Linked DNA regions of Drosophila melanogaster. The main gene of each other region encodes a partner of the protein of the gene in region 2 in a complex. Each region holds a gene or a part of one and is shown on either strand. Other genes may lie near its edges.

What was found.
Region 1: the proteins of vas (region 2) and gus are in contact, whole or in part, in a crystal structure (PDB 2IHS), measured with the Drosophila melanogaster proteins. Residues at the interface, in NP_001260458.1 of Drosophila melanogaster: Asp184, Ile185, Asn186, Asn187, Asn188, Asn189, Asn190, Val192, Glu193, Asp194, Val195, Glu196; in NP_001246140.1 of Drosophila melanogaster: Ser64, Leu65, Asn66, Arg79, His80, Pro81, Val82, Ala83, Ser85, Asp87, Gly112, Thr113, His127, Tyr131, Val218, Trp219, Gly220, His221.

Annotation. Positions count from the first base shown.
Region 1 is NT_033778.4:5,125,078-5,129,910, forward strand, and holds the start of gus (gustavus), read right to left. Parts: upstream 3,245-4,833; 5' UTR 3,149-3,244; intron 2,447-3,148; exon of another isoform or gene 2,326-2,446; intron 2,266-2,325; exon of another isoform or gene 2,172-2,265; intron 1-2,171. UniProt on the Drosophila melanogaster protein: Involved in the localization of vas to the posterior pole of the oocyte. Required maternally in the germ line for efficient primordial germ cell formation.
Region 2 is NT_033779.5:15,059,841-15,064,791, forward strand, and holds the start of vas (vasa), read left to right. Parts: upstream 1-1,815; 5' UTR 1,816-1,942; intron 1,943-3,090; exon of another isoform or gene 3,091-4,593; coding exon of another isoform or gene 4,594-4,951. Other genes in the region: TfIIS (RNA polymerase II elongation factor), read right to left, coding at 1-526, 593-658; vig (vasa intronic gene), read right to left, coding at 4,594-4,951. UniProt on the Drosophila melanogaster protein: Involved in translational control mechanisms operating in early stages of oogenesis.

The DNA.
Region 1 (4,833 bases), on a different chromosome or scaffold from region 2:
TATTGGTATACTGATAAAAAATGGCAAGACAAAGAAAAAATAACGAAGAAAAATCGAAATATTTTTCACGAAATATGTATTGATTTAATTAATATATTGTTACTTACTTGCAAAATACAAACCATAATTTGAAAACAGCCACAAAATTTATAATACACAAGAAAACTTTATCGATCTTTACGACTTAATATAGCATGCGAAACAAAAACGCCACGCGATTCTTTTCTGTCTCTTTTCGTGTTTTATATAAACTGTTTTTCCAATGCTTTCAAACTTAAGAATCGAATATAAGCAAATTTGAATATTTATTACTTATGGTAGTACATTATGAAGATATATTTTTTTACTAATGTGAAAACATACTAGCAATACTGTATATATATATATATATATATATATATAGTATTATATTAATCATATAATAATCAGAACAATCACAGATTATCAAGACAACCAGGAATCCGATATTTAGATGCGAGGCAAGAAGATATTTCAAAACTTAGTTAGCGTATCGATCGATTTCAAGTAAAAGGAAAATCGAAAAAAAAAAATTTCGACATAAAAGCTATTTAAAGCGTGCCAACCACTTTTATTCGTATCATTCCTAAAGCTTGTACAGCTAGTTGTCTTATTGAATTCCTTATTGTTTTGATTTCACAGACCGAGTTAAAGCAAAGACAATAGAATTACAAGATGCGTAACGGCCATTCATTGGTTTTGCACTATGCAGCCACTTTTTTGTTGACGGTCAAAATTGCTCTCTCTCCGCTTGAGTAAAATTGAGAGCGGTATAAAATCGAAAAAAATAATACACTTGCTTGTGTGTGCTAAAAGAATAAACGAGAAAGCAAAGACACTAGAATAACTAGCGTCTTTGGAGAATGTTTGTATGTGTGCGTACTTGTGCTAGAAGACGATTTTCGGGCAGAAATCAATTTTGATCTAAGATCCGATATAACATATTTAGAGTTTCGGGCAATTTCGTTGCAAAATGATCTACTCAAATAATATTTAAACATGTATGCCTTGACTATTAGATTTTTAAAGTGTTTCATATAAATGTTTCATATCTTAATTTGTGTTTATAATTAATAATATGTAAAACGGGACTGACGACATCTTTTGCGACATCAATTTTTAAAGTTGCAATGTGAAATATTTAAAAAAAAAATTACATTTCAAAAAATAAATTTCTAAATAATAATAAAAACATACATACATACATTAAACACATAAAGAAAACGTAGAGTTTCTTGACAGTCTCAAAATTCTTTTCTTTATATTTAATATTTATAATTTGTTTTTTGATTTATAAGTAAAACAAAAATATATTTCATAAAAAAATAGCGTTTGAACATTTTTACCTTTAAGGTCAAAAATTCAACTTATTTCACAGTGTGTAAACAGTTTCTTGACAAACTGTATATACAATATATAAAAATACGTTGACTGTTTATTGCAAAAATGATTTCTTGAGACACGAAGTGCGAACATAAGCACCCAACAATCATTGTCTCCTTTATTCTTACGCATACAGTGACAGCCGAAGAGGGCAGCTGGCTGTATATCTTTCCGCACTCTGGCTCTTAAACAAACATTCGAGAGAGCCTGGAGCCATCTCTAGAGCCAGCACCAAAAAATCGAGAGAAAAACAAAACAGAATGCTGTAGTCGAACGTAAAATTGCATACATTTTTTGGGATATCGATAGATAAAGATAAAATAAAAAGGATTTAAAAATGGTTTAAAAGTGTGGGCGTGACCGTTTTGTTGGTAAAAGGGGAGGCGTGGTTACGGTGTTTTTGGTATACCGATAAAAAATTGGCAAGACAAACAAAAATGAAAAAAAATCTAAACATTTTTTTAAAGTGTGGGCGTGACAGTTTGGGGAAGTTTTAGGGCGTTAGATTAGGCGTGGCAAAAAGTTTTTTGGCATATCGATACAAATTTACAAGACTAATTAAATTATTGAAAAATATCCAGAAATTTGTTCAAAAATGTGGGCGTGGCAGTTTTTGGCGGTTTAAGGGCGTTAGAAATTTTTTTTTTGTAAATCGATAGAAATTTACAAGACTAAAAAAAATGTGAAAAAATATCAACACATTTTTTAAAAGTGTGGGCTTGACAGTTTTGTGTGGTGTGTGGGCGTTAGAGTTTGCGTGGCAACATGGGTCACAAACTTGCGCTGCGTCTATGTTTTTAGAATCTGTATGCTGAATCTCAACATTTTGGCTGATCTTGATGCTGATATGGACAGACGGACATGGTCAGATTGTCTCGATCAAGAATATATGTATTTACATATGTTTGTATATACTTTATATAGTCGGAAACGCTTCCTTCCTCCTGCTACATAGTTTTCAACGGATCTAGGAACCCTGTTACTCTACGGGTATAACGAGTATAACAAATAGCGTATAGTCTGAATGACTAAAGGATGTAGTGAAGTAAGTTAAAGTAAACTTTACATTGTGTGAATTAACAATATGCTAGTGTAAAAGCGGCTTGCGCCGCCTTCATTGAGTTAAGCCTGCATATTACCTTTTAAAAGAAAAGTAGTGATGCAGTCTTGGTTTAAATGTAATTTTTATACTAACCAAAATTTCGTATTGATTCAACTTTACTGTTAAAGTTAATAGAAAATAAATGAAAAGTTGCTACAGCACCGACGAACTATTCATAAAAAAAAAATTCGAAAATCATATAACTGAAGCAAGCCCATGGCCAGATCGACTTGTCTAGTAATCCTGATCAATAATATAGTTATTTATATACATATGCTTAAATACTTTATGCATTAGGGAAACGCTTCCTTCCCTATAATATATTCTCCAACAAATCTTTAAGATTGTATGCAATTACGTATGTATGTATTTTTGGTGATATCAGATTCACTCCTAATTAATATTCTTATAGTGTTTTTGTACGCTCATACAAATTCAATCCAAGGAGATTGAATACATGAAGTTCAATATGTACAGATAAGTTTTCACATATAATTATTTTTATCACATATCTCAAATTTTTATCTGATTAACGTTTATAAATATGAACATACATATGTTCTTACATTCCATATTTATAATTAATTGATCAATTCCCACGTTAGATATGTGTGAATTTCATTTATCAGTTCCTGTGAAACTTACATTACTTTTATCTTGTCGATTTGCTATGATTAAAATAAAACAACACATAAAGCAAAATATCACTCAGGAACCTTTGATGCACAAAACATTCATTTGTTTGTATATCCACTTATACCGTACATCAACAGTGTTGTGACATGTAACGATTTTTGTCATGTGCGGAATGAGTGGGATTTTGGAAAAGACTAATAATTTCTTCGAAATTATATAATTTAATTTAACTTCAAAGACCGAAGTTTGGTAAAGACTTTCTAAGTCAAGCCGTTTCAAGATTTAGCACAACATAATGTAAATTAAACAAATTTTAAAATCTTTTTAAATGAAGTTATTCATTTTATCACCATATTACAATTTTTTAAATTAAAGGTATCTGATTGACCCCATGCGTAAAAGTAACTTGATAAGTTTACAATTGCAAATTTTTGGTTTACCCAAACCAAAAAACTGTAATAATTCATAAAAACAATTATCTGTCTCGCTTGTTTTTACGGTATGACAGGCACATTTTACCTACTGTCGCATTACGCCTAAACTGCCAAACAATTTTTCATTTTATTAATATTTATGCCAAAAGCTGGCATTAGCTGAATAACGGGTAAATAAAAAAATATAAATATAAAATAACTAAAACAGTTTATTTTACTCGGCGTTATTAATTGAAAACCGGGTTCTCCTTACCGAATACGGCTCGTTCAAAGAATAATAAAGAATAATTAGATGCTTAACTGCCATATATTGTTTTTGCAGGTTGCACTTTTTTTGATGACATCCGATTGTTTATTGCGACTCCGCGCGGCAATGTGCTTCCTTCTACATTCTTGGCTTTGACTTTACGCGACTGAACTGCCTCTCAGTTCGTTCAACGTATGATACGATAATATACTGTTATTCTACCGCTCGTTTTACATACGCTTACAAATGGTAATATTGTACCTAATTTCAACAACTGTCCTTAATGTTACCATTTTTCAATTAATTTCTCAAAAATTTACACAACATTTCTCATGTATAAGTTTTGACAAAATCTTTTTTACATGTCGGCTATTATTAAACATATCGTTCAAAATCGCTACACAAAACTCGTCTTTTCATTGCTCAAAAACAGCTAATAAACAATAATTTGCAACAAGCTCGCAAAGCTGTTTAAAGCTTTAACACTTCAATTAAGTAGCACTCCGGCATAGGACGTCGCTGCCCCCTCTTGGGCGAGCTATCTGGCTGGACTTCTATTCTATGTTTACTACGATAATAGATAGCCATCCTGAACTAACAAACATAGAAAAGTTGCAGCATCTAAGAACATGTCTGAGGGACACTGCACTTGAAATATCGGATGGCAACTATGCTATAGCATTGAATTTGTCTGTTTGTTTAATATTCCAGGCACACATTACTGAGATTCTAGGGCAAGGGCAGTTCAGAATGGTTCCGTTTCAATGCTTTGTAAACTGTGTGATAAATTCAACGCTCATATTCGCGCGCTAAATGGAATGGGCTCAACGACACAAATCGTTGGATGAATTATCGCCCAAGTACTTATCCAAAAGCTGGATCCGGAAAGTCTGGCGAAATGGGAGCAGCATTTGGAGAACCAGTCTTAAAGAATTCAATTCCAACATGGCATCGTTTCTGGAGCAGTGTTGCAGGACGCAGCCGTAACAAGCTATGCGTCAGTCAACCAGGTG
Region 2 (4,951 bases):
TCATATCCGTGTTATTGAACTCGGAGTAAATGGCATCCTCCAGTTCGGCGGCCATTTCCTCCGGCTCACCGCATCCTTCGGGCACTTCACCAATCTTCAGTGCGGTGGCCAGCATTTCGCGGCATTTGATGCGGACCGCATCTGTCATGCCGCCGGAGGGAAACGAGGTCTGTGACGAGGATGTCGAGCCTTTCTTCTCTTTATCCTTGGATGAGCTGGATGAACTGGACTTATCCTTGCCGGAGATTGACGACGACGACTTGGCGGCACTGGTGGACTTCGAGGCACTGCTGTTGTTGGAGGAGCCCTCCTTAGCGGAGCTGTTGTTCGGTGTGGTTGGCGCCGGGCTGGCGAGGAATCGTTTCCAGTTCTTGATCAGCGTCTTGGCCAGAGCGATCACCTCGTCGTCCTTGCTACTCTTGCGCAGCTCGTTTACGGTCATGCCGATGCGCGTTTTGGTCAGAATGTCGAGATTGATGTTAAGCGTTTGCAGGGCCTTCAGCAGGTCCAGAGCCTGATCCTGTCCCTGTACGGTGGATATATGTATATTTGTGACATGATGCGCGGCACGTTAGCTAATCCCGATACTTACTGTGCCGTCGCTGGCCATCTTGCTCATCTTCTTTTGGATTCGAAACACTTCCTCCTCCACGCTCATTTTGGCCCACTTAATTTGATCAGAGGTTAGGTTAACTGGCGTCGGCTGTCGGCTTTAATCGGTGCTGCGGGTCTGCGACAGTTGTTTATGCGGAAGCCGGGCTATTTCTTTTTTTCCCTCCAATAAATGTTGTTTACTATTTTTTTCGTTTCTGTATTCGCAGAACGAGTTGACAGAACACCCTAACGCGTTTTAGTGTTACCGGGCGGTGGCTTGTCAAGAAATGCCTTCCCATGGCTAATACAATTCCCAACTGGAAGTAGTTTGGGTTTCAGAAGTCAACAGTGTTACCGTATTTTAATGTACATCTGGCTTTTAAGCGAGTACACACACATAGCATTGCGATGTTTTTTAAACTTGCACTGCTTGCAAGCAGGGCTCCACTGTATTTCAATGAAAGAACAGCGTGTTGGGCGTTTTTGAATTATACTAATTACCTTCAATAACAATTCCCTATATATCACTTAGTTTTAATAAATAAATCGTTTGAGTGTGGTCTAGAGATGATGTATTATGATGAAGTGCGGTTGTTGGGGACAAGCGGGATACGTCTGCGGGTCAAATCGGCGGTGGGACATAGTGAGAGGGCAACGGCTCCAAAACCAAGCGTTGCGAACAATCACCAACGCGCCCTGGTACGCGAGAAATGTTGATATCGCACATGACCTCAGCATCCACCTTCAGTTTGAGAACAAATTAAATCAGGCACATACCAGACAACCAGGAGAACACTGAGGAGGCGTCATCAAAGATATCTTTGGACACGTGGCATAAACAAGCCAAACTATTATCTAATCAATATTTTTATACAAATTTTGTATGTTTCCATGTTATCTTCGTTGCTCCTGTTAGTTACTACGTTTCATAGCCCTTAAATTGGTTGCTTAACGTAAAATAAAATTATATTGTATAAAAATAAAGAGGAATTCACCTATAACAAACGAAAAAGTAAATAAATAAGAACTTCCCCATGTTAAAAATGCCACCACCATCTTTACATATAAGTATGTACATATGAATGAATCACTTAGGTTGCTTGAATATTACAATTTCATTAATAGCTAAATCACATTTGATGTGTTAGTGGAAAACGGCTATATATATAAATTATCGAAATTGTGAATATCGAATTGCGATAGCACAATGGGAAATTCCACCACTAGATTTTTGGTACTTTTAACAGATCCTTTTCGGTTTTGCGTTGCGCGAAGTGATCTGAACTTATCAAAGTTTGTAAGGTAATACATAAAGTGAAAAAGAATTAATTTGCTCTTGAAAGGCAGGGTAAGTAGCAAGAGACTATCTTAGTGATATGCAATTAGTTTTGAATCGGATTTAATTTTGCAACATTAAAAATAAGCTCATTAAAACTTGTCTAAATTGACTCGACAAGTTTTTCATTTTCCAATTTTTAAATCCGCAAAATTAAAACCATTTGAAAACGTATTACATATATTATTCCCCTTATCATTTTTAATTCTTCTATTGTAAAAACTATCCCATTTAAATATTAATGTTACACCCATTTTCGTTTTACAATTTTCGAATACTTAAGCTCATTTTGACTTCATTCTTCCATTTTCGGTTATGTTTCAGCGTTGTCGAAGCCCCTTTTTGTACTTCTAACGGATTTTTCTCATATTGTTACACCCATTTTCGTTTTACAATTTTCGAATACTTACTTTTATTAAGCTCCTTTTGACTTCATTCGTTCATTTTCGGTTATGTTTCAGAGTTGTCGAAGCACCTTTTTGTACTTATTACGGATTTTTCTCCTTATTTGACTGTAGCAATTAGAGAGCTTGGCAACCCTAGAACATGAATTCCTAATTTGGTTTCCTCTTTGCGTTCTATTCTAACAGGATCTTGAAAGGTCTAATATAAAAAAAAGATTTTGCGTGTAAAGTTGATTCATTTTTTTAAAAAGAAAATAAGTTGAAAGTAAAAATTGTCCCATTTTCTGGTTATTGGCATCGTATCTTTCTTTCGTGTGCGTTTCTTGATTTACGCTTTGAAATGTTGTCCTATTCGGCTTTCTCATTCTGGGTTATGTCCAATTTTTTTTTTTTTGCTTTTCCGCATATTTGTTGGCTTTTCTGTTCTGTCTATTCTATCTTTCGCCTTGTGTTTGTGTGCAACTTTGTTTTATGTGTTTGCCAATTTGTAACACTTGCATTCCATCTAAAAACTTACCGTTAAAAGTATAAGAACAAGCACAACAAAGAATTCATTCATTGTAGGTTTTCGTGAATAAAATTGAGAATACTGCATTAGATTTGTTTAGGTTTCGTTTCATTCCGTAATTCTTTCCGTCTCCACTTACCATTCGCTTTATGATCTTTTGTAACTCCTCGAATTACATCTTGCTCTTTCATGAACTTTTTCATTCTTTTTTGCCCCAAAATTTTCAAACTTACATCAAGTGTTTTTTTGGTTCTTTATTTTTATCAAATAAATGTTCTTGTTTTATGTTTAAACGAGTTGCTCAACATTTGTTGAATGGTTTCTTTGGGTCAAAATACAATACAATATTTCAAAAAATGTCGTATATTTTTTCATCTACGTTTTCCTCCATATTCATTTGCTCTATCATTTCTTTGCTTTGTGTGTTTGTTTCGCCGTCATAAAATTGATTTTACCATGTATGTACGAATATATATCTCATATAATTTACATAGTTTCTAGTTAATTGTAGGCAAACGATTTTACAGGGATCTTCAAATTAGCGTTTTCGGGAGTGGTTCTCTCATATGACTCGAAATGGATATTTTTGAAAGTTTCCCTCCAACTATAATCTACTTATTAAAGGTTTCTAATTTGCTCCAATAGTTAATCAATATTTTTTGTTTTTATTTCTTTAATAATGCTTAAATTAATATTGTTTTGTTTTTGTATTTCCGTGTGTGTGTGTAAGTTCAGTTAGGTATTTATAATTAAAAGTAGTATATATGATGCATAGTCCTCTGTTTAATTATTAAATTTAAATGTTTAATCATAGAATTTGCATCCAAGAAACACAGTTACAAAGGTTTTAACACTTACTATTCTTTCGGTTTTGGGTTTCTTTCACGATCCACTGATTTTTATATTTCTCCCTTTTGTTTTTCTTTATTTTAAATAAACGTTAACATAGTAAAAATAATAAAGCGTACATTTCGCTACGAAAAGTTGATTCGTAATTGAACAAAAAAATTTATGAGTAATGAAAATGCTTTTACTGTTCTCTCGATGAAAACAAACTATTGTAATAGTGTATTTTTCTTCTTTACAAAGAAGAATTTATCAGGCCGTGATGTTGAATATTATATATTTTATCTTTAGTTTATTTTATTCGCCTTGATCACTGGTTAGCGACTGTAATTTGTTTTTATAAGGTAGGATGATTTTTTGATTAGGTGAGTGGTAATAACATAAAAATAAACAACTTCACATCAGGTTTTGGTTGATGCAATAAAACAATTTCCATGACCGCCCCTGCCGTTTTAGAAAAAATCTCGAAACAAATCTCGTATTGTGAACAGCTACTAGATATAAAGTCCATAATGAGGATAACTTAGCCTGACACTGACTAGTTTACACGAGGTCACTTGCTTGATCGCGATTTTATCGTGTAAAATCTGATTTAGTTGGCCACGTATAAACTAAAATTGCTTTTCGTGTGTTCTCTTTTCATATATCTTTAAACATATGTATAATTTATTATCCGTTTTTTTTTACTTAGCTTGTTGGTTGGTATTTTTGTTGCTTTTGGCTTATAATGGCGGCTACAATTGTTTTCGTAATTTCCCCATTTTTCTTTTAGTTTTTAAAAAGTTTGTTGTCTGTGATATACGTAATTTATAAGTTTTCATTTTGGTAACTTGCTGCTTTCATTCACCATCGTCAGTAACCAAAACTGCAATTTGAGGAACCTACTCCTGCCCAAAACGATCGATTTAAGCCAGAGTGGGAAACTGACGCTCATCGTTGACCTTGGGAGCGGTGTTCTGTTGTCGCTCAAAACGCTTATTCGGCCCTGGACCGCTGTTCTGATTGTTGTTCTGGTTGTTTCCCGGACCGCGACGATCGATGGGTGGCCTTTGATTTTGAGCGGATGAACCGCCGCCCTCGTTATTATGCTGCTGGCCATCCCGTGGGCCACGGTTTCCACCCTCACGATTATCTCGGCCGCCCTCACGATTGCCGCCATCGCGGTTGCCACCCTCGCTGCGTGGTCCGCCTCCAAATCCACCGGGTCTGGGGCCTCCACGGCCACCGCGTCCACCGAAACCGCCAGGTCCGCCACGACGACCA